Notamacropus eugenii: one gene and its partners. The protein of the gene in region 2 interacts with the protein of the main gene of each other region in a pairwise test. Links are inferred from orthologs where the notes say so. Each region holds a gene or a part of one and is shown on either strand. Other genes may lie near its edges. The genes, in order: GCA, ATXN1, RBFOX2 and EFEMP2.

The links.
Region 1: the proteins of ATXN1 (region 2) and GCA interact in binary tests that used the Homo sapiens proteins (3 or more experiments, as listed by UniProt). The link is inferred for Notamacropus eugenii from reciprocal best matches to the Homo sapiens genes ATXN1 and GCA.
Region 3: the proteins of ATXN1 (region 2) and RBFOX2 interact in binary tests that used the Homo sapiens proteins (3 or more experiments, as listed by UniProt). The link is inferred for Notamacropus eugenii from reciprocal best matches to the Homo sapiens genes ATXN1 and RBFOX2.
Region 4: the proteins of ATXN1 (region 2) and EFEMP2 interact in binary tests that used the Homo sapiens proteins (3 or more experiments, as listed by UniProt). The link is inferred for Notamacropus eugenii from reciprocal best matches to the Homo sapiens genes ATXN1 and EFEMP2.

Annotation. Positions count from the first base shown.
Region 1 is NC_092876.1:221,930,011-221,937,627, reverse strand, and holds the start of GCA (grancalcin), read right to left. Parts: upstream 3,055-7,617; 5' UTR 2,790-3,054; coding exon 2,748-2,789; intron 2,433-2,747; exon of another isoform or gene 1,700-2,432; coding exon of another isoform or gene 1,673-1,699; intron 1,556-1,672; exon of another isoform or gene 1,478-1,555; intron 830-1,477; exon of another isoform or gene 776-829; intron 1-775. UniProt on the Homo sapiens protein: Calcium-binding protein that may play a role in the adhesion of neutrophils to fibronectin. May play a role in the formation of focal adhesions.
Region 2 is NC_092875.1:189,267,000-189,274,765, forward strand, and holds the start of ATXN1 (ataxin-1), read right to left. Parts: upstream 3,009-7,766; 5' UTR 2,763-3,008; intron 1,735-2,762; exon of another isoform or gene 1,210-1,734; intron 1-1,209. UniProt on the Homo sapiens protein: Chromatin-binding factor that repress Notch signaling in the absence of Notch intracellular domain by acting as a CBF1 corepressor. Binds to the HEY promoter and might assist, along with NCOR2, RBPJ-mediated repression. Binds RNA in vitro.
Region 3 is NC_092874.1:293,145,625-293,153,370, forward strand, and holds the start of RBFOX2 (RNA binding protein fox-1 homolog 2), read right to left. Parts: upstream 3,033-7,746; 5' UTR 3,018-3,032; coding exon 2,712-3,017; intron 1-2,711. UniProt on the Homo sapiens protein: RNA-binding protein that regulates alternative splicing events by binding to 5'-UGCAUGU-3' elements. Prevents binding of U2AF2 to the 3'-splice site.
Region 4 is NC_092873.1:18,572,197-18,579,223, forward strand, and holds the start of EFEMP2 (EGF-containing fibulin-like extracellular matrix protein 2), read right to left. Parts: upstream 3,111-7,027; 5' UTR 2,869-3,110; intron 2,591-2,868; exon of another isoform or gene 2,493-2,590; intron 1,760-2,492; 5' UTR 1,759-1,759; coding exon 1,657-1,758; intron 1,156-1,656; coding exon 1,107-1,155; intron 1-1,106. UniProt on the Homo sapiens protein: Plays a crucial role in elastic fiber formation in tissue, and in the formation of ultrastructural connections between elastic laminae and smooth muscle cells in the aorta, therefore participates in terminal differentiation and maturation of smooth muscle cell (SMC) and in the mechanical properties and wall integrity maintenance of the aorta.

The DNA of each region.
Region 1 (7,617 bases), on a different chromosome or scaffold from region 2:
AATGATAAGTCACTTCTAGTCTGAAAAACCCTTTTAAACATTTACAATGAAATAACTGTGCCTATTCCTATAATACTTTCATTTAATGACCTGCTTTAGTCCTAATATTAGATTAAAATATTTAGACAACACACAACCATATGATACATTACTCTCAGAAAGTAAGCATTAAGCAACCACAGATATTGGGTCTATGCTCAGTGATCAGAAAAAGGAGTACCTTTCTCTCAAGAAATAGTCAAAAGAGAAAATAATTCCAACATATTTCAGACATATTAAAAAATATATATAGGACAGAAGCAATTAAAATACACAGAACGGGCTTTGAGTGCAAGGTCATTTAGTGAAATGGTGAATGAAGCTCTAGACACCATAATTACGACTGACCAAATGTTGAGAAAATACTCTTTCATCATTCCTGTAAGAAGAAATTTCCAGTGTGCTTCAGTGACAGCTGCCTGAAGCAAGTACAGACCTGAGAAACTCACTGATCAAAGGGATGGCCATCCAGGACACACTTCACTAGAACAGTGAATAACTCAGGCACTTAGCTTTGGGAGCATGGAAATGGAGAAGCAGCAGACAAGCCCAAGAAAAACTGAACAGCTGGAATGAAGCATCATTTGCTTGAAAAGCAAAGTCTTCCAGACAGTTACAGGAAAAGTTCTGAAGATGGCAAGAATCTTAGTATACATTATTTGGGGAAGTTAAGGTCTAACACCCTAGACGGTGGTTAACAATTTCCAAATAAAAACTTTAAAACGGAAGCCCTTACCCCACAATTCAAGGCCAAGAGTTCCTGATAACACTGAAATTCAGTATTTTACTCCTGCAAGAGAAAGGTAAAAGAGACGCTGCCTCCCCTTTCTTTATGGGATTCTAGTGAATCGGTGCCCTAGGAAGCTACAGGTAAGTCCTGAAGCGACCTCCAATTTTAGCAACTTTCCTACTTAAAAATAAAACAAAAGAGAATTCGTCAAGGACGCAAGCTCCACGACAACGAACCCAAATCGCTCTTTGGGAAGCATACTGGACAAATTATTTTGCCGAAAAACTTTGTTAGGGGGACCATTGCCTTCCGGAACGCTAACACACGTACACGCGTGTGTGTGTATACATACAGACAGCTAGTCGGTTATCTACTCATTTGGATCACGCCTGGTCAGGAGAGGAAGTAGTGGGGTGGGGGAGGGGAAGGTTCTCCCCCTCCAAAAAAGCGTGGGGCGGGTCTTGTGAAAGGTTTACGGGAACCTGGGCAGCGTTTTCTTCTTCCTCCGCCGTAGCACAAACGGAGGAAGTCTCCATCTTAGGAAACTAAATTCCTCAAATATCCCACTTAGGTGAAGCGGGAACCGACACGATTACCGCCTCGCCTCTTCCCTCCGGAGAGCGCATCCCGGGGAAAGAGGCACACAAAACCCCTCTCCTCCCCGACCTGGGGGGGGCGGGGCAGGGGTGAGGGCGGGGGAGCAGGCACCTTCTCCGAGCCCGGGACCAGGTGAGGAGGCACGCGCTCCGCCCGGGCTCCTGCACAGCCCCGCCCGCAAGGAACCCCGCAGCCAGCAGGTGCAGGAGGCGGGGCCTAGCCCCGCTGGCACCGCCCGCTGGGGACGGCCACACCCCGAGGGGGGCGGAGGTCCAGGGCGGCAGGGAGATGCCCCAGGCTACTTACCCCACCTCCGTATCCAGGATAGGCCATGGCGAGCGGAGCGGGGCAACGCGGTCCAAAGCGAAGGGAAGGGGAAAGAAAGAAACACGAACGAGTTTCTTCCGTCTGCTCTGAGCCCCGCGGCCCCCCTCTCCTTGTCCGGCCCCGCCTTCCGTTCCTCAGCTCCTGATTGGCTGCTGAGGATCTCGCGAGACTTCCTTCATCGGCCGCGAAGACACGCGTGTGTCCTGCCCCTTAGGTTCGAGGGCGCCCTACCTCTTGTCAGTCGCAGGGGGTCGCTGGCATGCTAGGTCGCTTTTATCTGCTCTGAGAAGTTCCCTCGCCTTTCCTGGTGGACCCTGAGGCACCACCATAACTTCCCTCAGCATGCCTCCTTGAGCCCGGCTCTCCCAGGTGGGAGGCTTCTCACCCCGAGATACCCCCCATCTTCACTGAAGGGGTAGTGACTTGAAATGCCGGCTTTCCCGTTTCTACTCAAACGGGGCCATCTTTGTAAAGCGCTTTGCCACACGTACACATGACTCCCAACAGAACGCTAGTACTGCTTCACCCCTAGCCGTGGGCGGTTCCCACGTGCTGGGCGCCATCCACACGTCTCAAGCGCCTTCTGGGTGCCGGGTTCTGTGCTAAGAGCCGAAAGGACGCCCTGAAGACGGCGCCTGCCCTCTGGAAGCCTACAGTCCAGTGGGGGAACAGATCCAACCAGGCCAAATAGGACCGGGGCAGGCGCTGGCACTGGAGGGGCTGGGGAAGGAAGGCTGGAGCAAAAGACAGGGTTTTAGTTGGGACTTGAAGGAAGCCAGAGACATGAGAAGTGGGGGGGGGGGGGGGTCCAGGTATTGGGGGGTCAGTAAGAGAAAATGCCAGAAGCGTTGGCGCGGAGGCCAGCGTGACTATCGAAGGATGTCTTTGGGAAAGTAAGGTGTAAGAAGCCTGGAAAGGTAGAAGGAGGCCAGTTCTGGAGGGCTTTCCAGTGGCAGTCAGCGCTGGAACCCCCAGGGAGTCCAGCGAGCACAGGGGGGGGCCGCCGGGCTTGGTTCTCAATCAGAGTGGATGGGACGAGAAGGAAACCTGTTACCTGGAGAAGGAAGGTGCAGGCCTGGGAAGGTGGGCGGCCCATGGCCCCGAGGGCTCCAAAACGCTTCCGAGGCCGCAAGGAGAAGGCAGACGAGTTTACTCCAACTCAGCCACCAAAACTGCCTCGGGTTCAGTGATTTGCCACGGCTCATGCCAAGGTTTGTCCCTGTAATGGGAACCCTGGGCCTCTCATCCACGTTGGAATCTTAGAACGTTAGAAGTGAAAGGGACGTTAGAGCTTAGAGCTGCCCAGCAAGAACCTTTCTCAGACTGGGGCATTTGGGAAACCTCCCCCCACCCCCGTGAAAAAAAGGACTGGCTTCCTAATTTTCAAGTAAAAGTAATCGATGAATATTACTTGTTTCAATAGACCTTGGGAGGTGGGCAGGAATCTTGACATTTTCCTTAAAATATAATGGGGGATATGACTGAAGAATGTATTCCTCACCTAACTTTCCCTTCTCATTTAAATTCCAGCGGTTTAAAAACAAACAACTTTTTGTTCTGAATTTAACAACCACAAAAAAAAATGTTTCCATATACAAGATAAAACAAAAAGATGTATTAAAATGCACATTTCTGTTACATGCAGATTGCTTTTTAAAAAGTATATAGTAAATTTAATTTGTTCCTTTCAAAGCTGTTATTAAGCTGTGTGCCAAGCACTGGGCTAAGAGCTGAGTATGTGAAAGGAGGCAAATGATCATCCCTGCTCTCAGGGAGTTCTCAAACTAATGGAGAAGGCAGTAAGTACACAGATTTGTAGAAGGAAGCAATGTAGAATAAATAGGAAATAATTAAAGAGGGAAAGCAGTAGAATTAAGAGAGTCTGTGTTTCTTTCTAAGTCAATGACCCCCCCTTTCTTTACTTCATTTTATTGGCAATCTTTTCACTATGGTTCCCAATTTTTAAAAAAAAATTTTTAAATTAAAACACAATCCTTGCAACAAATAAAAATAAGCAGGAAAAACATATCTGCATATTTGCCATGTTCACAAATGTATGTCTAATTCTGCCCTTTAATTCCTCTGTCAGGAGGTAAAGTATCATGCTTTTTCCTCAGGCCTTTGGAATTGTGGTTGGTCATTGGCTTGATCAGAGTTTTTAAATTTTTCAAAGTTGTTTTTCTTTACAGCGTTGTTACTATATCAAATCTTATTCTGGTTCTGCTCAGCTCGCTATACATCATTTCATGGGATCTCCCCAGGTTTCTCTGAAGCTGTTCCTTTTGTTAATTCTTAAAGTTCAATTATGTTCCATTAAATTCATATTTAATGGGCAGCTAAGTGTTGCAGTTGATAGAGTGCCAGGACTGAAGTTAGAAATTGCTGCTGAGTTCAAATGCAGCTGCAGAACATTGATTAGCTGTGTGACTATGGACAAGTCATTTAACTCTATTTGTCTCAGTATCCACATCTGTAAAATGAGTTGGAGAAGGAAATGGCAAATCACTCCAGCATCTTTGCCAAGAAAACCCCAAATGGGGTCACAGAGTCAACACAACTGAAAAAAAAATGATTGAACAACAAATTTATATAACAGTTTTTATTCAGCCAACCACAAATTAGTAGGTATCTCTATTGTCTCCAGTTCTTTGCTAAGACAGAAAGAGCTGCCTCTAAATATTCTTTGTACAGAGTTCTTTTTCTTTCTTTGATCACTTGGTGTATAGGCCTAATATTAGTTTAACTGGGTTAAAATATATGCACAGTTTAGTAACTATTGGGCCATAATTTCAACTTGCTCACCAGAATGGCTTAACCAATTTATAGCTCCACTCAAAGTGTATTAATGTGGCTGTCTTCCTGTAGCAAATATCAACTGATATTTTCCATTTTTGTAATCTTTGCCAATCTGATGGGTTTTCAAGTGAAACCTTAAAGTAGTTTCAATTTTCATTTTGCTAATTATTAGTGTTTTGGATCAGTTTTTCCTTTGGGTTGCCTTGATTTCTTTCTTTGAGAACTACTGGTATATATCCATTGTACAGTAATCCGTTCAGAAATAAATAGCTTTCATTCTTATATAGTTGAATTAGTTCCATATATCACATATGTAATACATCAGGCTTTTATCAGAGAAACAAAACTAAGTTTTTACTTACTTTTGTAAGATGTTATATAAGCAAAACTAAAGAAAAAGCTACATGGGGCAAGACATCTCATTGTTTTTCAGACTTCCTGGAAAGGGATAAAAGATACATAGACCCTATAAAACGTGGAACAGTTCTATTTTGAACAGGAAGAAGCAGAAAGGTCCATGGCAATGGTCCAAACAAAACTCTAGAAACAACTGGTAAAACGTAAGTTGATTAATATACCCAATTAAAGGTTTATACTTCTAGATGAAACTAAATTATTAATAGAGATTGGGGTGGCAGTTTAACAGATGGTTCTGAAGAAGTAGAAAGAAAATGTTGCTCATAAAAAGCTTTAAATAATTAAGTAAAATAAGACAAAATAAGACAAAATTTGTTAAAAATTCAAGCATGAACTTCCATCATCAAGAGTAGTGTATATATTTTTTAGCTTTTACAAGGGAGTATTTATTTCAAAGATACGTCAAAAACACAGGTAAACATGTCCCTCAACACATAGGGCCACACTCTTAACACATTATGCTGCCTATACCACACTTTCTGCCATGCTACCTTGATCTCTAGGGAAAGTGGGCTTAGCACAAAGTCTACATAGCATTAGTCCCACCAGGTCCAAATTTAGCTACATTATGAGTCTTCATCTCAGCTATTGCTTCAAGGCCTTAATGCTGGGTTAACTGCAAAACCTTTGCAAGAATTTGATTCCCAAACTCTCCTACTGTCAGATGGTGTTCTCTCCTGACCTTTCAAAACTCATAAATTTACAATTTCCAACTTCATATGTGTAAACAAACAAATGAAAAAGTAGGCAAAGAACAAAAGCCTATGTTCATTCAGTCCTATCAACTGCAGTTTTGTTTTATAAAATTTTATTTTACACAATTTATTCAGTGAAACTAAACATTTGTTAGGCATCTGCTATGTATGTGCCAGGCACTGTGCTAAGGTGGGGATACAAAGAAAGTAAAAAGATAGTGCCTTCTCTTCAGGGCATTCATAGGGCATGCATCCATGAGGGAACACAAAGAAAACAACCCACAAAAAAGGAGGGACAGAGTAAGTATCCCCTGGAGGAGTGAAACCCAGTGTGAATGAAGAGATGGTTGATCCAAGTGCCCTCCTAACATAAAGGTTCTGAGAAGAGCTCTCCTTCTTCCCATCAAAGAGGATGCCAGTTCATGAGACCACATCTCTAGCCTTGGGTGAGGGAAAAACCAAAAGCCTTTCCTTTTATAGCTTTGCCTCTTACTAGAGGTTGTCTCTCAAGAAGAAGTCAGCCAAGGAAATTGTGCTGATAATGCATTTTTGCTTATTGTTAATAGAATTTTGCTTGTTAATGGGAAAATCTTTCCCATCCATTAATAGGCCCATGTGACCTACTTAAATCACATGAAAGCCTGAGTCACGAGTCAAGTTTCATGGAACAGAAAGGGGTAGAATGGGAAGAGGTGGAGCTAAAGCAGGACTGAGAGGAAGTTAGAGAGCAATCAGAGTTGGGAAAAGCAGCAACTAGCGCGAGACAGCTTGTTTGTGATTTGTTTAATGTAGCTGATTTGTGGGAAGCCTAACAGAGGGAAGGCTTGGGGTTGTTGCCCTCTGCTACTGTGTATAGATTTCTTTGTTACTATGATGGATTTGGCCTTCTGGTGTCTGAATAAATGTTTTGGTTCTGTCTGACATGTGGAGCCGTCAGTTGTATTTTGCAATTCAGAATTGTGCCGGGATATTCATGACTGCCACAGATGCTATGAACACCATGTTGGCACTACAGAAGTAAAACTGAAAGGAAAGGAAAGGCTGAAGCCAGGCCTTTGGAACTCATCCCCAGCTCAAATTCTAGTTCTAGTTCTCCCACTGTAGGCAAAGGGGCTGATATCCACTATATAGTTGGCAAACCAGAATCAGCTACCAAAAGGCTATGTGTGCTTCATATCTCTCCAAGACATTTTCATTACATATCATCTCCCAAAAGTGGGCTTCCCAGCCTCTTCTGCGTAGGGAATTACACCATGAGCACTCTGCACCTAATCATAATGGCTGTTATTCAAGAGGACCACTGACATCATGGGGTGATGTCTTGTCTTGCACGTGACTTGGATTTAAATGAGGAAGAGTTTCACAAAGGCATCAGCTTTACTTTCTCTTCCAGAGTCATCAAAGTCCAGTGACAAGACAAAAGTCAAGAGAACTGGCCTTGGCTCAGGATACCTTGATACGACCTTGGTCTGACTATTTCTCAGCACTTGCTTCAGTTGCCTTCATGGCCATGGGAACAAACTGTTCTCATCTACCTATTGGGGGTATGAGGGTGGGGTGGAGGCTACATATGCTTGGGATAGACACCCCCCTAATTCACCAATGCGTTTGAGGTTCATCAGTTACCCTCAAACTGTGTTAGCCCATCTGCCTGGACCGTTTGCCAGGTATGGCCCCAAAACATGCTACAGCTTTTTGGAGCCACAGAGGAGAGTTGAGTGCATTGAAAAGGGCTCACACCAGAGGTGTGTAATGGTAATTTAAATGGAAAGATCTCTCCCATTCATTAATAGGCCCATGTGACCTGCTTAAATATGTGGTGGGAGGAGCTTGATGAAAGGGTGGAACAGGAATGGTGGGGCAGAACTAGGAGGAAGTTAGTGAGAGTAGTTTCCGGTAGAGGAGAGAGGATTCAGACAGGTACAGCTAGTCTTGTGAGCTGTTTGCTTGTGAGAAAGGCCCTGGTAGGGGCTGGGGAGGGAAAGAGGCCCCTGCAATGCTAATGTGTATTGATTT
Region 2 (7,766 bases):
TCTTGTAGCACCCTCCGTCAATAACCTTCATTCCGAGGAGTCAGCGGATCAAACTATTTTCATCCGATGAATAATGCAAAGAGGTTGTTGGAAGATGGCAGGGGTCTCTGTTAACTGAAGGTTTCATCAGAAATCCAAATGCAGAAAGCTTACCTAAGGCATTAGCAAAAGTGTGCCTAAATAAATCTGATAACTAACTAACCATTACTACATAATATATAACAATGACGATTAAATATTAAGTGCAGTCCACATCATAAAAAACAAATGTCACCAAACTGGGAATACTCTGTATCTAAAACTGAACTTATTCACCTATACACACGGCTGTGTATTCAAGACCATATTTTAAGGAGAGGATGATATTTCAAAGCATTAGCTTTTATTGTTTATGCACAACGGGGTCTTCTGATTTTGTTAACTGTATCCTGAGCATCTTGTGGGGGAAGCTCAGAATCTCATCCGGGATAGATCCAGTTTGGAGGAGTCCCTACTGCACAGCATACGGTAAACAAAATAAAAATAGCTTGTTCTTGTTATCCACATAGAGCATTATATAACCAGCTTCCGACTTGGGTTTTTTTTTTTTTTTGCCATTACTACTCCTCAGCAATTTTCCCATCTGCAAAAGTATTTAAATGTTCCCAATTTTTGTAGGGTTGTAGCTATCAAAAACAACAAAACAAAACAGTGCTGGAATGGGTTTTTGCTGATTCCCAACGTCCTTGGAAACTGTGCAGTGTCCCCCCCTCCCCGACACAATCTCCATCAGCTTCAGTCCCTCCTCCCTCACCCCTCACCAAGGTTCTCCCTAGAAAATCGGAATTGTTTTACCACTTCCAGCAAAAACCCTGCATGGCCTGAAATAAAACGAAAGCCCAGCACAGGAAGTTTGAGGCCAACTGAGGCGGGGGAAAAGGTGAAGGGGTTGAAGCTGGTGCAGGAAGAAAAAAAAAAAAAACAAAAAGCAGGAGACCAGAGATGACCAAGGTCCCAATCTCAAAGTCCCTTTCTAAGCATGACCCCTTCCCCCAATACACACACACACACACACACACACACACACACACACGCTCACACACGCTCACACGCACGCACGCACACGCCCCTCTTATTACAACACCTCACTTCTACCTCTCCCCTTTGGGCCCCGCTTGCACACCCTCCCCCTCTCCCTCGCTTGCCCTCTGGGGACTGGCCTGCACTCACTCAGCACTGGAACAAGTAGGAGGCGGTGGTAGTGGTAGTGGTGATGGTGTCTCCGGCCTGGCCCGGCCCTGAGTGAGCAGCGGGGCTACTGGGCGCATCCCAATCCCTGCAGCGTCTCCTCCTCCTTCTCCTTCCCCTCCTCCTGGCTTCATTCACCCTCTCAGCAGCCACACAAGCCCTTTCACTCTAGGCACGGGGGCAGGACTTGCCCCGCGGCCACCAGCTCCTCTACTACTCTCTTACGCTCTCTCCCGTGCAACGTGCAGCCGGCACCCGCGAGCAGCCTCCCCTCACCCCTCGAACCGAGTGCTAGCCAGGCACCGGGCAGCGGCAGCAGAGCGGCGGCGGCGGCGGAGGCAGCAGCAGCAGCAGCAGCAGCAGCAGCAGCAGCAGCAGCAGCAGCAGCAGCAGCAGCGGAGGCTCCCTCCACATGATCAGGAAGCCGCCGCACAAACAAGGCAGCAGCCAGCCAGGGCCGCCACTCCAGCCGCGGCCGCTGCTCCGGGCACCCACAGACACACTCACGCGCGCGCGCGTCCCCTCCCCGTTACCCTTGCCAGCCTCAGTCTCTCTGTGTCTGTCTCTGCCTCCCCCTTACGCCCCCTCCCCAGTGCTCCCACCCCTCTTCTTCTAGCCAGGGCAGTAGGTCTTGGTCACTTGCAAAGTCCTGGACAGACCCCCCCCCCCCCACACACACACAGAGTTTCCACTTCCCCTAGATGTGTACACACACACACACACACACACACACACACACACACACACAGATGGACAATCTTCCCAGGCTTGGCGACCCCCAGTAGCAAAGAGGAAGAAGCCGGTAAGCTGGGAGTCCAGCCCTCCCCAGAATCAACACATACCTACGCGTGCACGCTCGCTCACACACACACACACACACACACACACACACACACACAGAATCCCTCCTTCCCAGTCTGGAGAGTGCAAAGTAGGGGTGAGTGGGGGGAGTGTTGGGGGGGCTGAGGTGGAGAGGAGTGCAGGCTGCTGCTGACTCCCTCTGCGCCACCCCGAGGGAGGACATTTCTTACAGGCACTCGGGAGCCCGAGTGGCAGCAGCAGCAGTAACAGGGGTGCACTGAATCTCCCCGGGCACCCAGGGACAATCCACCCCCCGCCCCCTCCCCCCAGGGGCGCGTGTCCCCCACCCCCTCCCGCCCACACCTATTCCATCTGCTTCCTGGCCTGTTCCCTTAGCCAATTGCCCCAGCGCTAGGAGTGGGGGTGTTGGCAACAGAGAGGCTGAAGCGTAGGAAGGTTGTATGTACACACACGCACACAACACACACACACAACACAACGCGGATCATTTTCTTCTCTGCTCTTCCAGCTGTGGTTGGTGCCGCCGCCGTTTGAGGGTTTGGGTTGGATTTGTTTGTTGTTGTTGATGATGTAGTTCCCGGGATAGCAGAAAGAAGGGTCTTAATCTATATAAGGGGAGAAGAGGACGGGGAGGGGGGAGGGGGAAGAGGGGGGAGGAGAGTAGAAGGGGGAGGGGGAGAGAAAGAAACAGGAGGAAAAAAATAGCCACTTACTGTAAAGTGTAAATGGATCTGGGGTTGCTTGGGGAAGGGGGGCAGAGGGAGAGAAACAATGTCTTGCGGCGGCTGTTGCTGCTCGCTGCTGCTGATCCACAGGGCTTGTTTTTTATCCCCCTGCAGTGAAACAGGTCCTGGACGCCTCTGCCACTGTAGTAGAAATGATGTCTGCGGTATACACTGCTCTCTCCTCCTCCTCCACTCCCCTCCCTCTCTCCCTCCTCCCTCCACCCCCCTTCTCTCTCTCTCTCTCTCTCTCTCTCTCTCTCTCTCTCTCTCTCTCTCTCTCTCTCTCTCTCTCTCTCTCTCTCTCTCCCTCTCTCCCTCTCTCCCTCACTCTCTCTCTCTCTCTCTCCCTCCCTCTCTCGCTTGCTCGCTTGCTCCAGTATGTAAATGTGTAATAGAAGCCAAATATGGAGCAGTTGGCTGCCGCTGCAACCGCTCAAGGATCCTACTGGGGGGTGGGGGGGAGTGAAAAGAGCTGGGGGGGGGGGGGCGGGGGCAGAGGAGGCCGGACTGGGGTGGGGGGGGAGGGGGAGGAGGCAAGGCAACTCTTTGGCGAACATCCAAGAGAGCCACACAGATTATTGCATACGCACAGCAGAGCCCGGCCAGCCGGGCTTAACCCTTCCCTGGTCTCTGCACAGCCTTCTTCTAAGAATTTACTGGGAGGGATTAGGGACTGGCGGGGGGTGGGGGCTGGGGGGAGAGAGGAAGCAGTTTTCATTCCAGAACCTGCACGCATTAACCACTCCTCGGAAAAAGTAGCTTTTTGGGGATGGGAGGCGGTGAGGGATGATAGTAAAGGAAGGGTGGCAGAAATGAAAGGTCAAGGTGGTGGGACTGGCTTATTTAAACCTCAGAGGGTGGGTTCTTACAACGCCTCCGCCACTGCCTCCCCCCTACACAGACACACGCACACGCACACACGCTCACACACTCTTCTTTCACTTCCTTGGCAAGCAGGCAGGGAAAGGTCTCCGAGGAGCTCCGACTGACTTTTTTTACTCAAACCCCAAGGAGGTTACAGAAGTGTCGACTTCCAGGTGAGTGCCAGAGAGAGAATTACTCAATCGACATTGACCTAACCGAACTAACCGCTCCTCTGGACACAGATGCTCAAAGTGTCTTGCCTCTGCTAAATGAACAACTCATGTCAACCCTGAAACCGGTTGAGCGAGCAAGTGGGTTAGCAGTTCAAGGCTTGGGAACTCATTCTTTAATGCAGAAGATCGAGGATGACTACGAGGTCCCTGAAATCTGCACTAAATTCTATTGGGGAAACTTTGAGGGACTCCCCTTTCCCTTACCTCCACTTTCTCTGAAGCCTAGTAACTGACTACCCCTTGCCCATTCCTTTACTCTCGAAAGCAGGCCAGAAAAGATTCTTTGGACCCGGATGTTCAGTAACTATTCCTAATGTCTCAGCAGAGCAGCCAGCTACAAGAGACAACATCTTCACCTGGACAATGTCAAGTTCATTGATTTAATCCGAAATGAGGTCCTAGTGAAAGTTGGGGAATGGCAGATGTCAAATGAACTTTAGACAGCTGATTCAAGCACATCCTCTGGGCTCAGTGGTAAACTCTTCGGGGTTGTTAGGGTTTTTTTTTTTCTTTTCTTTTTTTTATCCCTTAGTTGAATGTTACCTCAGTAGGAAGGAATCTCTTTCTGAGAATTATTCACCTTGCCAACAGGTGTGGCATACATAGAGGAAAAGAAGCCACATTCATGCTGAAGCAAGCTCAGTTTCCTCTTACAGCAGATAAATGGGGAACCTATAGGTGTCGGGACACTGTCTGGTCTCCTTCATGGAGTTAGTCTGGATAAACAGGGAACATTCAGCTCAAAAAGAAGTTTACATTGCATTTTAATACTCTACTTGTTGCCTCTATGTTGAATGGATCTTTCAGCCTCATTCATGTGTGACTGAAATACATTAGTCAACATGTCATGCAAATCCAGAATCACCAAAAGAAATGTGGTGTCAGCTTGTAGCCCCCTGAAGGGCTGCAAAGCCTTGTACTTTAGATATGAAAATAAAATAGTGTGTTGAGTATGAAAAATAATTTTTTCTATCATTTTGAAAATCCGAGCTCATAATTTGTTACTCATGAAAAAGAACCATTGGTCATCATTACTCATTTTTATTTATTTTTACCATTTGAAAATCCAGGGTCTGCTGTACAATGACATTGTTGGTCTCATTACAGCCTCTAGTGGACAGTTATGATCCATTTCTCAAAAAACTGTGATCTTTTTTGCTGTTCCAATGGACAGGCATTAGCAAAGTGAAGGTTGGTATCAAATAACATAACAAAACATAAAATTTTAACCTCCTCATCAGAGTGGGATTTTGAACAAAAACAGGAACTGGTTGGTTTTATGCAGTAATGGCTTCTTTTTGGAGCCTCAGGTATTATTACTGGCTTGTGAATAAATAGAGAGCTGCTGCTATTCCTTTCAGCTTCAGACAGCTTTCATAAAAACTAAATTCATCTAAAATATTTTTATAACAGAAAATATTGGTTGCCATGTTTTTGGCTTAAGTGAGACATTTTTATTCCAACTCATAATCTGCAGACTGTCCAATCCACCTCCAGTCTATTTTTAGTCATCTTGCATTAAGAGAATTTTTTTTAATAAAGAAGCAAATATTTTTATTATTTCATTGACATAAGCAGTTCAAGTTATTTTAACAGCCTTCAGCAAATTAAAACTCATAATTCAGATTAAAGTCAGTCAATTAATTTAAATGCACCCTTAAGGAAACTAAATCTGTATATTACTAAGACAGTAAAACAAGAATGTGCATTAATTTCTGAGATGAACAGCCATAAACTATGACTTAAATCTGTAACTATTTCTTCCTGCAAGTCCAAAAACTAAGCATAATTTTCATGATACCGTTTCATTATCTAGGGTATTGGAGACAGTTGTTTTCAGATGAGAAAGGATTAAATTGAAAATAAGACAGATCTGGCACTGTCTCTTTAAAAGTGAGACTATCTCATGCAAATAAAAGCTTAGTCAAAAGAGTACAGCTTTCATGAAACAGTAAGCAAATGTGTAGTACTATAGTACTATTCACAAACCAGATATTACATTCACACATGGACAAGGCAAACTTTAAAAGACAAGGAAATGCCTAGAAAAGCCTTCCATTCTGTCCTCTGCCACCATTGTACTCCTGGATTCGGGGAATCTTCCTACCTAACATATGTCTTGGATTACTTAGCTATCAGGAACATATAAAGAAGTCTACCCATTAAATTTTATTGGCTGCATGTTTGTGGGATTAGAAATATTGTATCAAGAATGCTTTTATACTTTAAAATAATTGGCTATAAAATAATAGTTTCCAAAAAAGTTCATAACTCCCACAGTATTCCACTTAACTCCTATGTTCATTCATCCCCCTTGTCTCTTCTGTCTGTTCCTAGAGTCTTGTCCCCATCAGTTTGTGCCTTTAAAGGTTTGGGGGTTTCTTAAAGACATAATTATTTTCTGCCATTTCTGTGTTCTAGTTCATGAACTCCCTAATTTGTGGACACAGTAGTAATTTTTTTCAAAGACATTGCACCCTGCTGAGGAAATTGTACTGAAGTCTGGATGAGTTAATGTTTCCATCAAAGCAGTAGAGGGAGCACAAGCGTGCTGAATGTAATAATTGTATGGGTCTCCAACTTCAGGGCAATTTAAAAATAGTGGTTCATAAATCGGTTTATTGGCAGTCGTTGGATAGGTATGCTTTGTTTAATTATTGACAGAGATATGGAGTTAAAATATTTACTACCACGTTATAGCAGTTAGATATGGACTGATGTAGGCATCTTTTCAAGTTTAGTACTCAGCACATACACCTATTTAGAATTTTTATTTAAATTCTTTGATGGAATTTTGATCTTATTCCAGTATCCTCCACCCACCCAAAACTCATAACATACCCAAATCAAACACTGCAACTTTGGATAGACCTTCCTCAAAAACAGTTAACTCATAAACACAGTCAGCCTTGTCTCATTTTGACTGAAGGACTTAGCAAAAAAGACATTTGCACAGGATCACAATAATGTTGTTTGGAATGAAGTATTATTTTAAGAATATATAATAATATTAATTTTTCATCAGTTTTGACTGCTTAGCTTTAAGGCACATGATGAGAATTTATCTTATATTTGTGTAGCACCCTATATACTTTGAAAGCCCTTTTAAAAAGATTTCATCTTTATATATTTCTGTGAGGTAACTAAGATGATAAATGAGGCCACTGAGATTCATGGAGATTATATAATTTAGGCAAGGTTACAGACTAGTGTCAGAACTTGCTGGAAAACCCACATCTATTGACTCTTAGAAATTCAGCTCCAGTTGAATTTCTCCATAACACCTGTAAGTGGATTATAAAATTCATTTCTTACTGATCTATTCAAGAGGCCTAGGTTCAAATCTTGACTCTAAAATTACCATTATCTTCCCAGTGTAGTCATTTAACCCCTCTGAATATCACTTCTTTCTTTTATCTGTGTTTACCTAGGGGAACAAATCTAATTCTTTAGGAGGTGAATTTCTGTTGTGATAAATGAGAATACCTCTGAAGAAACAGTCCTGCTCTACTGCTCAAATCCTATTTAGTTCCTGGATCACTTAGTCAGCAGCCCTCACACCCATTGGGGTTTATTGTATCAGTTCAGCAAACCAATATCAGCTGCAAACCACAGCATTTAAAAGTTTATTTTTTTTCTAGAAAACATATAGCAGCTGAACAATGCTTTACTTCTAGTTCAATAACTTAGTTACTAATTTGAAAAAAGTTAAAAATATAGGCCGTATCATATATGTATCTTTCCTCATTAAATTGATTTAAAATTACATTAGCAAGCTCATGTGTTCTTTAGCTGGTAAACATATATTTATTTTTATCTTTTTTCAATTGCTGAAAATAATTTCCTCCTTCCTAGCTGAGGATAAGCAATGCCAAGTTTCTGCCTGTAGCATGCT
Region 3 (7,746 bases), on a different chromosome or scaffold from region 2:
AGACTTACAATTGGCAGATAAACTGCTAAATCTACTTCCTCTCCTGCATCCCCCCAAAGTCCCAGAACACCAGGACTCAACAACTTTAAGATCTTCAGTCAGTCTTAAGAGAGATCATTCCATGAGGTTAAGGAAGAAAAAAAAACAATCTCAAGAGACCAAAGGAACTGTGTCCTACAGAAACTAACTGTCAAGCACCCCTGTCAAAGTTCCAAGCCTTCAGCATACAGCTTTCACACCAACGATGGGACACCTCAGCTTCTAGGTCTGAGAGGCCACTGCTTTCTTTCTAGTTTGCTTCCAGGATCCTAGATTATGGCTCCCTGTAGTATTTCTCCCTGCTAAAGTAAAAAGTCTGAGCAAAACAGGCAGACCAAGCAAAAGAATCCTGTAAGAAAAAATGCCCTCAATGTGGGGGGACAACTGGGACCCCATGGCACAGTAGGTAAACAAATGGGTCATCTCCCTTAAATCAACACATAACGGGACAAAACTACCTTCTAGAGAACAGATTTTGTCTTTTAAGAAGAGCAAAGAATCCTACAGAAAAGTACCATGCATGGGCACAGCAATTTCTGTGGCTCAGGAAGCCCGTAAGGGCTCTGAAAATCAGGAAACAAAGCTGAGAAGGCATTCAAGGTCTGCCCAGACTTCTAAGGCACCCTGGTCAGTTTGAACAACTTCTGGTTGCACAAGCAGGGTGAATACCACAGTGAGCAGCACCCCTCACCTCTCACACTAAATAAGGCTTTTCCAGGCTGAGACCATGCCCCTCTCCCCAACCACGAAGTGCTCTGGCTCTGACCTCAGACCATGTACCACAGACCAAACACCACACTCCCCATTCTTTCCACCCCTAATTTCTCATCTCAGAATCCTGAAGGTCCAGAAAACTTCCTTTCAGGCTTGAAGACAAGGAAGTAGGAAAGGAGTCTGTGAGAAGCCTGGCTGTTCATCCAAGGGATGCACCAAGCCTGGCACAGGAGGGATGCTTGTTGGCTTCAGTCTCAGCAGACATGCTGTTCCAAGTTAAGGAGGCTCAGCGAGCTGTGACCACAGTACCAAACTCTGCTGTTGCTAAAAGTCCCACAACTGATTTAACCCACAGCCTAAGCCACATCCCCTTTCTACTCTCTCTAGGAGTAGATTCTCCATCCCTCTCTTCTCTTGTCTAACTTCCTTGAGTCCACCTCCTCCATTTGTAGACCTTCTGGCCCAGAGTACTCAGGCCCTTATAGTCACAACAGCCCCTCCTTCTCGTCCTCTTCTGCTTGGTTCATCTGCTTGTTCCCAAACAACATATCCAAGCTTATTCCCATTCCTTTCTCCTCAAGAAGAGAGGAAAGAGATGGCCAAAGGGAGTCTCAACCCCACCAGAGTCATTCTCTCCTATCTTTCATTCTTCAGTATCTCTACGATCCACTAGTTGCCACCCATATTCACACACCCATACAGGGCTCTCTCTCTCTCTAGCCCTCAACACCCCCTTCTTCAGATCAGGTCCCTTTATACAAAATGAGAATTCCCCTTCAACTCCCTTTCCAAAACTAAATAACCCACCCAAAATTAAGGGCTCCTCATCCACTCACCTGCAAAACTGAGTTCCCCACCACCAAATTAAGAACTCCCTCCCAATGTTCCACTATGTCACTTCCCCCAAAATGAACTGCCCTCAAAAAAGCATTTCCCAAAAGTTGAGCACACTACCTCCAAAAGACCCCTCTTCAAAAATGAGGACCACCAAAACCAAACATTTCCCCCTTCCAAAAATAGCTATTTCTTCTAAAAACCTTGGTCTCTGTCCAAAACTAGACATTCCCATCACCAAACAAGGTATCACCATCATAATTCCCCCGAAACAAGTGACTCCCAAATCTAGCAAAGCCCTCCTTCCAAACTTCAAAATCTGTGTGCTCCACCTCCAAAACAAGGTGTCCTCCCTTTTCTCAAAACCAGATGTTCCCTTCTCCAAAAAGTTATCTTTCCAAAAAGGATGTTCCGCGAAATGAGTGTCTCTCAAAGCTAATGTCAGATTCCCCAACACTAGCATTCCCTACATGATTTGGGAACCCCAGTTTCTATTTCCCCAAAATCAGGTGTTCCTAACAAACCAGGTATTCCCTAAATGTCTTGCTTCCCCAAAACTAGCATTCCCCCCAAAATCTAAAGATTCTTATTTTCAAACCAGGTGATTCTTTCCCCAAGCCAGAAGTCCCTCTATGCAAAAATAAATGCCCCTCTTCCTAAGCTCCAAAGCTACCTTGCCTTCCAAATAGCTGAGTAACCGGCTTCCAAACCAAATGTCCCTGTCCCTGTTCAACCACGTGCCCCCCCTTCCCTAAACCAGGTATCCTTTTAAAATCAGGGTATACCCATCCCCGAACAGAATGCTCTTCCCGATGAGTGTCTTCAAAGGCAAGCATCTCCTTACCCAAAGCGGTTGCCCCTCCAAAATCTAAGCACGCCCCAAACCAAGTATCCCTCCCCCTAACTAGATGCCCCCTGTCAAGGTGGATGTCCTGCTCCCCCTATCCAGATGCCCCCTGCCAGGTGTCCCGCTCCCCCCCCCCCCCGCCAGATGCCCTGCCTCCCGCCAGGTGTCCCCCCTCCTCCCCGCTCCAGATGCCCCTCCCCCGCAGGTGTCCCGCTCCCCCATTCCGGCGCCCACCGGCCCCGCCCCCCTCGAGCGTGCCCCGCCCCGTCCCTCTCACCTGCATGCCGCTGCCTCCCGCTCCGCCTCCCGTTCCTGTTCCCGCTCCGGCTCCCGCTGCGGCCGCTGTCCCCTCGTCGGGCCGAACCTGGGCCGGCGCCCCCGCGCCCTCCGCCCCCTCGTCGGTGCGCTGCCGCTTGCCCGGGCCGGGGTCGGCGGGGCCGGGGCCCGCGGGCGGCGGGGGAGGCGGAGGCGGCGGCTCCAGCTCGGACTCCCGCTTGACGCCCCGCGCGGGGCCGGGCTGCGCGGGGGGCTGGGGGGGCGGCGGCGGCGGCGGCCGCGGCTGAGCCTGGGCCCCTTCCGCCATCCGCCCGCCCGCCGGCCCCGCCTCGCCCACTCCGCCGCTCCGGGCCACGCGCGACAGGCCGCCGCCTCTCGCGCCCTCACACACGCTGGCCGCGCCGCGCCCCGCCACCGGCCGCGCGACAGTCGCGACTCACGGGCTCCCGGCGGCCCCGCCCCCCGCGCGCGCGAGCGACTCCCCGAGGCGGGCGCACACTCCTCCACGCGGGCGGGGGCACGTGCGCGTGCGCGTGCGCGACGGGCCGGCCTTTGGCGCGCTCGCCTCGCTCGGCCGGGCTCCCCTCGCCTGGCTCCTGGAAGCCTCGCTCTCGGTCTGGGCCTCGCTCTCGGGCGGCTCGCGACGGGGACAGAGCGCGCACGCGCCCCCGCGGCTGCTGGCGCGCGCGCGCACGAGGCCTTCCCCCCCCCCACCGCTTGGCCGGCCAGCCTCCCGCGCGCTCGGTTTGTCACACACGCAAACCCTCGCCGCCTGAGAGCCAGACACAGACACACCTCTCGAGGGCTCCAGACCGGAGGAAAGGAGTGGGGCGGGTCCGAGATCCCCGGGGGGCGGATGTTTATTTGGGGGAGGGGTCCGGGACCCGGAGCGAGCTGACTGGCCGGGAGCTGCGGAGCCGCCTTCGCAGCAGCCCGGCAGGGGCGGGCCCGAGGGGAGGGGGCGGGGCCCGTTCCCTTCGGCAATCTCCGTCGCCTCCGGTCAGTGGGGCCAGATCGAGCCCGACCGGCGCGATAGGGAAGGAATCGGCAAGTTTCGGGAATCTCCGGGAGGCGAGGAGGGCTAGGGCAAAGGGAAGGGGGCGGCAGAACGGATCCCGAGGGGAGGGGCGGAGAGGAGGCGGAGGCAGAGGCGGCCGGCGAAAGGGGTGGGCGTGGCCTGCCGCCTTTGGGGGCGGGACCTGCTTTTCAGGGGCGGGGTCACAGGTCTAAGGCGAGCCACTCGACAAAGAAAAGGGGCGGGTCCTGTCAGGGCCCCACCCCCAGGTTGAAGCTTATACAATCAGGGGTCTAACTCGGCCCAACCTTTTCATTTGCTGAGACTTCCCCAAGGTCACACTACGTAGCAAGCCGCAGTGCTGGGATTTGAACCCTCCGTTAATTAGATTCAATTTGTCCCGTCTCTATCATACCTACCTGGCCCTGCTAATAGAGCACTGGTTTTGGAGTCAGAACGATCTGAGTTCTCAGACATTTACTTGCCCCGCGATCCTGGACAAGTCACTTATTCTTAGTTCTCTCAACTGTAAAATGAGGATAATAATCCCCAGGTTTGTTGTGAGGATCAAATGAGATAATGCCTATAAAGCACTTAGCCCAGTGCCTGCCACGTAGTAGGCGATTAATAAATGCTTGTTGACATGACTTGAACCCAAGTCCTTTGTCTCCAAACACAACCCTCATGCCATTATGCTGGAGTTGGTGGGAGGTGGAGGCAAGGGGCAGGGAGGAATCTTCAAATCTGGGGAGGTGAAAGGGTGAGCCTGTTCTACCTTGGGCACAGTCTGATGTTCGCCTAGGAATGGAAAGGAGTGTGGAGGTGCCGGTTACTTCTCTCGGAAGGTGGAGGGGCGTGGCCTATTAGCCTGGAACAAGACTTTCTTTGCCAGGCTGGAGAGGTGGCTGGGCGGGAAGTACTTATCTCTGCAGTGAGAGTGGTGGGCTGGGAGCCAAAGAGAAGGGGGAGGAGTTGGGCGCCCCGCCCCCCCTCAGGTGACCCTTGTCTTAGGCTCAGTGGATGCAAACCATTATGACTCAAATTCACCCATCTGGGGCCAAGGGAAGCTGTGCCTGAGTAGAAAGGTTTGTGGGTGTAGGAGGGAGATTGGCGGGACTCTCCCTCTCCCGTTCTGCTTGCAAAAAAAAAAAAAAATCTCCTTGCAATAATAATAGCTTGTGTTTTTATATAGTACCTACTACGTGCTAAAATGCTTTACCATGATTTGATCCTCCCAGCAACCTTAAAAGGTAGGTGCTATTATTATATTTTACAGATGAGGCAGACGGGTTAAGTGGCTCACTTAAGGTTACACTGCTAGTAAGTGTCTGAGGCCAAATTTGAGCTCAGGGCTTCCTGACTCCAGACGCTGCACATCCCAGTCCAAACCCTGAGACAGTTCTCTTGGTCCATTTGTTCATTCCATGAGCATTTATTAATTGTCTGCTCCTTGTGTGCAAAGCTCTATGGGGATCCAATGAAAAAACAGTCCCTGCTAGCAAAGCCTGTACATTCTCCAGTGGCGGGCAGGGAGCTAGCCTTGGGTTTCATTTGACTTGTGATGTTGTGGGGCCCATAATTTTTCCTGCTCAAAGCATAGGGGGAAAGAGGGTCCTACAGTGACAGGATATAGATTTAGAGCTGAAAAGGATCTTAGAGGTCATCTAGTCTGACTCTCCCCTTCCCCTCCTTTACAGGAGAGGAAATTGGGCCCCAAAGAGATTAAGTTACATTGAATGGCAGAGCCAGACTTGAAACTCAAATCCTCTAACCCCAAATGCAGCCATCGTTCCCTTTTACTGTCCTGCCTTTCCTTCCCTCTTTTACCCCTACCTCTTAGCAGTCCCAGGTTAGAAGGTCCAAGTCTCTCCTGCCTCGAGCCTGGAGGGGACTGGGGTAGAGTTCCGAACCAGGAACCAAGTGAACCAAGCAAAGCCAACTGATGGGAACAGCTTTGGCTTCAGGGTCAAAGGGCCTGATCTTCAAAATCTAGCTCTACCACTGCCTGGGTGATCTTGGGCAAATCCCTTCCCTCTTGTGGTCACAGTTGCCTCCCCCATAAAATGAGAGCATTGGAAACGCTGCTCTTCTCATGAATTGTCTATTTAAAGTAGTAGGCAGATTCCTCCAGGGCAGCCTATCCAGACTGGGAAAGTTGGAACCCCCTTCCAACAAATGAGTGCTGACCTGGCTTTGAGGTGGCAGCTGGGATAAGCCAAAGGTCACCTGGAAGCATGGTGATTTTCTGAAAACTTCCACCCCCTACCTCTCAGGACAATGTCTGGGGCCAGGTCTGCCCAGTGGCCTTCTAGGTCCTTTGTTTTAGCTATCCATGTTAATCCAGAGCCCCTCTGAAAAGCAGAGATAAGTATTGGAGGAATGCTTGCAGAGGCAGAACAAAGAGAAATCAGACCCTGCTGGATAAACAGACATGTGGAATACCTGTGAGCACCAGTGAGGTGGGGGAGGGGGACCATGAAGATAGAGATGGCTGATGGGAAGGACCCCAGCCCAACCAACACAGTCACCACTAGCAAACTCTAGTATGAGCCTAGGAAGCACAATGCCCTCTGAGCAGTGGGAAGTGGGAGCGGGAGGGGCAAGTAATCTCAGTGTGAAATAGAGACTGGAAGGGAGAGGAGGGAGATGCTGGCTGGGGAAAGGGAGGAAATGACCATTCCTTGAGTGCTGGGTTTCTTCACCTTGTATGTATCCTGGATGCCTTTAGCAGTCTGGCAAAGCCTGTGGACTCTTTCTCAGAATCCTGTTTTTAGATAATTGAAGGAAATGCTACATTTCAGTTAGGTTAGTAGAAGATGTCATTTTTCCCCAGACAAATTCACAAGCCCCTAGAAACTTTCCACAGACCTGTAGATCCCAGGTTAAGAGGGGAAGGGGAGAGGAAAGAGATAAGCACGTATCCAGAACCTACTGTGTGCCAGGCACCACACTAAGCACTTTTTACAAACATCTCATTGGATTCCCTGCTGGAACATAAGGAAGTCATGTTTTAACTCCAAAATGCATGTGATTCCCAACACATGAAACCAAGAGCCAGTCTCAGTTGGGTGCCTAGAAGCACCAAGAGGTGTCTAAGAAGTCACTGCTGCTCCTTGCTGCTGAAACCCAATGCCCCAGACCCAGAGTCAGGAAGCAAACTGTGACTTTGAGCCCGGGAACCACCCAGATCCGGGACCCCTGCTCCATGAAGTCACCTCCTTGCAGGAAAAACAACCATAGGCCCCAGCCCAGGAGAAAGGGGCGTGGGTGGGGGCAGTGATTCAGATCTGCCCCCAGGGTCCCACCCCTGAACTGGCACAAACCAAGGAACTTCTGGGAAATGCCCAAAGCAAACAAACTTGCCTCCCTCCAACAGAACACCAGTGGTGCTCAGGACCCCCCATTCCCCTAAATCTCTCATTTCTCTCTAAGTAACATGAGAAAAAGGAACCTTAATAGATGGACTGTTCCTACTTCACTGCTGGTTTGCATTTTACAAAAGCAAGGCAAGAGAAACATCCTACCACACTCAGGGTGGGGAGAAAGAGGAAGCAAAAGCAGACTCCTGCCATGTGGCAGACTGATCCCGGGGCAGATACCCACCCTAATGAAAAATTGGATTCCGGCTAAGATAAATGCCATTTTAAATCTCATTCCTAGTATAAAACTGGCCAGGCTAGACACCAGCATGGCCTCCTGATGTTGACAACCCGCACCTCCATTGTGCCTGGACTTTATTGGACATGGCTCTGCCTGTAGACTAGAGAGCTTGCTCTAGCCTTAGCATTCCCCACATAATGAGTGTGTGTCGTTTCTATTTCTGTAGAATTTGATGAGGGATGATAACAGGGTAATTGAATTCATTGTTTTCTTTCAGTGCCAGCCCTCTGCCCCCTGGCTTTTTAAATGTCCTTTCTTACTGTTGGGGAGGGGGTAGGGGAGGGAGTTTTCTTCCATTTGATTTTCCTAGAAGATAAAACCTAACCTACTGTGTCCACAGTCCATGTGTAGTACCATAGGA
Region 4 (7,027 bases), on a different chromosome or scaffold from region 2:
TTCCCTATTACTCTCTTTCAAGTACTTTCCCCTTGAGTCAAAGTAATAGAGATGAAGTTCCCCATACTTGGGCCTCTGTCTCTCTTTCTGTGTCTGGGCAGGAGCTGTTCCTGGCTCGTTACAACTCCCAACTTCCTTCAAAGCAGATCCCCAGGGCCACCTGCTACAATAGTCTCCCTGGATGTTACTTTGTATTACTTCTAAATACTTCAGAGATACATGGGTGTTACTTTTATGTATCATACTTGGATTCTTTAGATTTACTTAGTCCCCCCACTGACTTTCCTTCTGGATGTAGCATCTCTATATGTAGCTCCCCTGCTGGCCATTAGGATATAAACTCCAGGGCAGGAACTGTTTTGGTTTTGTATCCTTGAGAAATCAGCACAGAGCCTAGCACATAATAAATTCTTAGTTGTAGTAAATTCTTAATTTCGCACTTAAATTCTCAGTGACCCATTCTCTATTTGTCGTTTCCTTCCAGGGGGAATATAAGCTCGTTGAGGGCAGGGATTGTTCTGGTTTGGTATCCTCTTTTATCCCCAGTATCTAGAAAGTAGCAGGTATTTAATCAAAGATTACTGGTCAAGGATGAACTCTATCATATTTGCTTTTCACAAGGACCCCACAGGGTCAGTAGCATTAGTGTTCCCCTTTCACAAAGAAACAGGCTCAGAGGAGTCTAGGAGCTTGCTCTGGCTGAACAGGGGAGACCTGGAGGCTCCTCCCCCTAACCCACCTCTGGGATTCTGGTACCTCCCAACAGTGCATCAAATTAAGGCCCAGGCGCCCTCATCTCAAGCTCCTCACACCTCTACAGCAATTGCTGGCTCAGTCTTCTCATCAGCTCCCTCTCATAGAAAAGGGAACCAAGAAAGGTGGAGTGAGAACTGAGTTCAAATCCCAGCTGGTCACTGCTACCTTTGGGACCCCAGGCAAGTCACTCCTCCTCTTGAAGTCTCAGTTTCCTGGTGTCTGAATGTGGAGGTTGTACTATAAGATGCCTAAGCCTCTTTCCCTGGCCAGCATCAGAGCCTTCTTTAGGGAGATTGTGGAAGCGTGCTCCTCTCCACTGGGGGGGGGAGGGAGGGGAGGCTCATACTTACCCTTACAGTGCTGACTCTCCGTGTCCCACTCATAGCCATCTGTACACTCCTAGAGCAACAGGAAGGAAGAAAGTCAGGCTCTAAAGCGCTGATTCTGGGCCAGAAGCCCTGGTCAGTGGGTTTGGGGAGGGGGAAGGGGGGGAGGGGGAGGTAGGGCTCTAGCTTTCAGGTCTGCAAAGAACTTTGCAAAGATTATCTCATTGGCTCCCTCTAGGTCAGGTGTGGTTGTTACCTGCATTTTATAGTTGCCAAAACAGAGACACAAAGAGGTGGAGAGACTTGCCCAAGGTCGCCATCAGAGGCAGGATTCAGACTCAGATCTTCCAAAATTCCAACCCCAGTATTTGATCAGCTATACCAGCTGATGATCTTAGCCCCTTTGGGGTTGGCTGGGAGATCTCCCCAAACCCTGCCTCTGCCCCTTCCTCCAGCCTTATCTCAGGATCCCCTGTGGTTTGGTCTTTTCTCTTCCATCCCCTCACTAGCCTCCTCAGTTTCCTGCTGCTTCTCCCCATACTATCCCCCTTGTCATGAGTTCCAGGGTTCCCACCATGTAGCTGTCCGGCTCCTCAGGGTCCTGGGGAGATGCAGTGCCCAGAAGAAACAGCAGCAGTAGCAGCTGTCCTCGGAGAAAGGAGACAAGAGGGAGCATCCTAGGACCAAGGAAGGAGAAGCTGCCTCAGCCTCCCCTGGATCTGGACCCTCCCCTTGGTCCTGCCCTCAGCCCCTAGTGTCCCTGAGGCTGCAGGAATCCTGCACCCCACCCACATGACCGCAGCCCCAGACATCCAGCCCTGGCTCTCCCAAGGGAAGCGTGGCCAGTCTCATGTCCACAGCCAACAGCCCTCACTCCCTTCCTAGGGCCCAGACATCTTGCTTCCCTGGACCCAGTTCTGAATGTGGGGGACCATACTTCTTGGCTTCCCTACCCCACAGCCCAGCCCTCACTTCCAGTCCTGGTTCCCCCTTCAAACACCAGGCATTTTTGTGCCTCCTCCCCAACCCCTCAGCTCTCAATGCCCCACAAAGGTTCTTTCCACAGAACCCTGATATATCTTGCCCGGAGCCTTTCCTCAGAATTGTGGAGTAAAGGAGGACCTTACTCCTAGCTCTCTCCACCCTCCAGCTCTCCCTTCGGAGCAGGGTTTCCTCCATGAGGTCTCCAGAGAGGACCAGCTTTCTGCCTCCCAGCTCCCCCCACAGAACCCAGCTATTCCGCCCCCACCGCTGTCCAGGGGATTGGAACTGTTATTAGCGGCCCACCCCCGCCCCAGCTTTTCCCATTGGATCCAGACTATTCTTCCCCCCTCTCCCCAGGGGACCCAGCTGTTCTGCGTGTCCCCTCCCCCACCAAATTCTTCCCACAAGTGCTGCCCCTCAGCTCACCCAAAGGAAGTGTGGCTGACCTCCTTCTCGGTCCCCTTGGACCTCAGCCTTCTGCCTTGCAGCTGAAGGCACAGGACCCCTGCAGTCAACCTGCACTCCTGCTCCCCCAGGGGAAGTGGGACCCACCTCACTCCTCAGTCCCCCAGCCCCAGGCCTCCCGGGATCATTGTACCCCTCCTCCCGCAGTTTGGGGTCCAGGAGGCCTGGGGGCTCCTTGCCAGGGTCAAGGGAAGGGGGACTCAGGCTTATCTTCACCCCCCCAAACTTTGCAACTCTCCCCTCCCCCACCCCTCGGCCATTCCGCTGAGTCGGCAGTTTCCGCTCAGCGGGGGCCTTGGCATCCCAGCTCCCAGCCCCCCGGGCTCGCAACACTTACTTGAGGCTGGAGCGACCCGAGCCCACCCCCCGCGGCCCCCGGGGCTCTGGGCTGCTCTGAGCCTGTAGGCTTGGCGAGGCTCCGCTCCCTGGACAAGCGGCCCCAGGAAGCGGCCGCCCCCCGCCCCCCAGCCCGCCCCGGACACGACACGGATTCCTGAGCCTGAGCCAGGGGGAGGGACCCGAGCCCGAGCGAGCCCACCGGCTGCCGGCCTCCGCGCAGCCCTGGCTGACGGCCGCCCCGTCTCGTCCCACCCCGCCCCGCCCAGGCATCTCGGGCTACGGGAATCTGACGGCCAAGGCCAAGGCCAGGACCAGGGCCAAGGTGGCCGCCTGCCTCCCGGGTTTCCTTCGGGTCCTACTCTCTCCAAGTTTCGGATGAGCCTGAAACACAATCTGAGGCCCTCTAAACCCCCAGCCTGGAGCCGAAACACCCAGAGCCCCCAATTATCCCAGGTTAGAACTGAGAAAGCCTAGAGACACCCTCAATACTCAGGCCTGAAGTAGAGTCATCCAGAGTTCAGGCTAGAGCTGGGATCCCTAAACCCCCAATCTTGCAGGCTAAAATAGAAACACCCTGGGGTCCCCAATACCATCACTTTGGACTTGAGATCCCCAGAGGCCCCCTCATCTCTTGGGTTGACACTCTTCCCCATCTCCCAACCTGAAGTTGAGAGATCCTGGTTTCCCCCCATTCCCCTGGGCTATAATAGAAGATCTCTGATATGATGCCTGCCCTGTTTTCCCCCACCCGCCATACCATTTCTAACTTGAATCTGAGAAATCCTGGCCCCTCCCAATCCCTAAATTTCAGATCCTGGTGAATCCATCTCAAGCCTCTAGCCAAGATGCCTTTCTCCCCACTGCACTCATCCCTCCCAATTTGGACCTGAGACATCTTGTTCTCTCCCCCTCTCCAAATCTCTCTGAGCAGGAACCAGAAGACCCTCATCCTCTATGCCTTAAATTCCTGTGTCTGGAGATGAGAGATCCACAGGTTCTAGATGAGAAACCCTGTCCCCTTCATTCCACGTTTCAGTTCTTAGGCTCATAGGTTCCCAGATCTAGAGCTGAAGAGGGATCTCAGAAGCCATGTAGTCTTGGAGCTGAGAGATTTTAGTCCTTTCCAAATACCCCCAGCCTGGAGCAGTTCTTGAGCCTGGAGATTAGAGATCCAAATTCCTCCCACCTACATTCCCTTAGCTTTGGGTAGATCAACTCTGGTCCCTCCAGTGTTCCCAGATTGCTGCCCAAGGGCCCAGTCCAATCCTATCTCACAATCATTTTAGAAGCTCCTTCCTGAACCAGGCACCATACCCTGGTGCCAAGGGCACAGGGACAAGAAATTTGAATAAGCTCTCTCTCTCTCTCTCTCTCTCTCTCTCTCTCTCTCTCTCTCTCTCTCTCAACTCCTCACTCCATTCCAAGCTTTGTACTGAAAGTTCAATCATCTCCTTACTCCCCGCAGTCTGGAACTAAGCCCTTGATCCCTGCCATTTTCCAAATTCAAGCTGAGAGATCCTTTTCCCTACGGTTCCTGGAGACTAGAAGTCAAGGAACTAGATTATACTCCTCCCTTCTTTCCATATATAGAACTGAGAGATTCTGGTCCCTCCTTTTGCCCCAGACTTGAATGGAGTCCCTTAAGCCACCCCCTTTCACCCCTCAGGAGCTAAGTGCCTAGACTAGATTTCTCTCAGTCCCAAGCTTAGAGCAAAAACTTGGAGCCCATCCTCCATGTTTGTTTTCCCCACTCTGAGAAATCCTGTTCCCTGATATCACAACAGAGGATTTAATTATCAGTTTTACAAATGGCAATTCATTCTAGGATAGATGATTAACAGATAGACAGAAAGACAGATATACAGATGATAGAGAGCTGTATAGAACAGAAAAATAAATAGATGAGATAGGTAAATGGGCCAGATAGGTGGAACCATAGTGGATAGAGTGCCAGGCCTGGAGTCAGGAAGACTCCTCTTTGTGAGTTCAAATCTGGCTTCAGACACTTACTGTCAGTGTGACCCTGGGCAAATCACTTCACCCGTTTGCCTCAGTTTCCTCATCCGTAAAATGAGCTGGAGAAGGAAATGGTGAACTACTCTAATATCTCTGCCAAGAAAATTCCCAGTGGGGTCACAGAGAGTTAGGACTGAAACAACAACCAAACCAACAGATAGGCAAATAGATCTTTTCCCCCAGGCTGCTGAAATCAATCCCTTACCAGAAGCTAAGATGCTCTGAGGGTCTCCCCAACCTTCTCAAGGACTGTCACCTCTCCTTCACCTTCCTCCAGCCCCTCCCTCCCTCCCTCCAAGACATCCCCCTTTTATCAGATGAAGTCCTAAGGATCCAATGGTTTCATGTATGATTTGTTAGTTTCAATTGTTTGCTTTTGAAAATAGTTAATAAATTTAGAATTTATAATATTTAAGCCTTCAAGGCTAGGCTCAAGTATCACCTTATAGGATATTCGTTTAGAGCTGTAAATGATGTCAGAGGTCATCTAGAGCCCTCCCCCTCTCCCCCCATTTTCCCCTTCTGGATCACTTCCTGGTCATGGCAGAGGGGCTTGTGGAGCTCAATGAAACTATGAGCTACACCATGAAGGATTAACCAAGACGGACAGGTCAAATGGAATTTGATGGAATCCAATTCTGATGGAATCAGGTGGGCCAAAGCTGAAGGGAAGCTCAGCTCTGGATGCATCTGGTGAAGAAGGGAAAGTCCAATGCATAGGAAACTGGGGAAGGTAAGAACTACGAAACAAGGTAAGATAGATGTGGTCAAACAGGAGGTGGAAAGATTTAATATCCACATCCAGGTGAATTCAGATGATCATCTACTACTGTGGGCAAGAATCCCTTCGAAAAAACAGAGTAGACATCATAGTCAATAAAACAGTGAGAAAAGCATTATGGGGGTAGAAGATCAAAATGACATCTGTTCGAATCCAAGGCAAACTGTTCAACATTGTTGGGGGTGTAAGCTCAGTTCCATGTGGACAGTCTTGGGCAGGTAAAAGTGAGGACTTCTAAACCTTAGAGTTCTCATGAGGCCCCCCAGGGAACAGCAGGGAATTGAGGTGTGAGACAGGGCTATCTCGTGCATTTCCGCCTCTTCCCGTAGGAAACGTGCTGGGAGAGAGCATCCCTGCCCTCGAGATTGGCCCAGGTCTGAGCACACCTATTGTTCTCTAACAGGCACAGTATTCAGGTGCAAACTATGCGGCAGGAGAGCTTAAGTAGGGTCAGGAAAGCCTGAAGGCGCTCTTAGCGCTGAGGGGCCCTTACAGGACAGAAGGCCCCTCTTCCCTCTCTCCTCTCTTCTTTCTTCCCTCCCTTCTCTCCCCACTTCCACTTCCACTTCCATTCTCTTACTGTAAGATCTTTGCCTCCTTGGGAGATTCCTCGCTCCCCAGGAAGAGTTCCCCCTGCACATGTAACCAAGACCCTGAATAAAGCCTAACCCTTGTTCGACTCTGGAAAGTCTCTTCTCTCATACGTTTATCCAGTTTGGCCAGCCGAAGACCTGCGATAGGTAAGGTAAGACTCGGGCAGCCCTCAGGCCTCTGGGCCTGGCACAACATCACAGTAATAGAAGTCTGTGCTCCAACCACTGATGCTAAAGAGGCCAAAGCTGACGGACTCTATGAAGACCTACAATGTCTTCTAGAAATAACACCCTCTGTCCCCTCCCCCATGTCACCTTCATTTTAGGAGATTAGAATGCTAAAGTAGGAATCAAGAGATAACTGGAGTAACAAGCAAGTTTTGGAATATAATAAAATGAAACCAGCAAAGGCTTATAGAGTTTTGCCAAGATAACTCTCGGGTCAAAGCAAACACCCTTCTTCAACAACCCAAAAGGTGACTCTACACACTGACATCACCATATGGTCAATACAGAAATCAGATTGATCACATGCTTTACAGCCAAGGGTGGCAAAGCTCTACACAGCCAGTTAAAACAAGTTCTAGAGTGGACTGTGGCTCAGATCACGAGCTTCTCGTTGCAAAATTCAGACTTAAATTGAAAGTAGGGAAAACCATCAGACCATGTAGTATGGCCTAAATAGTGTCCCTTATGGATATGAAATGGAGGTGATGGATAGTTTTAATGAATCAGATCTGAAGAACTGTGGACAGAGATTCACAGTA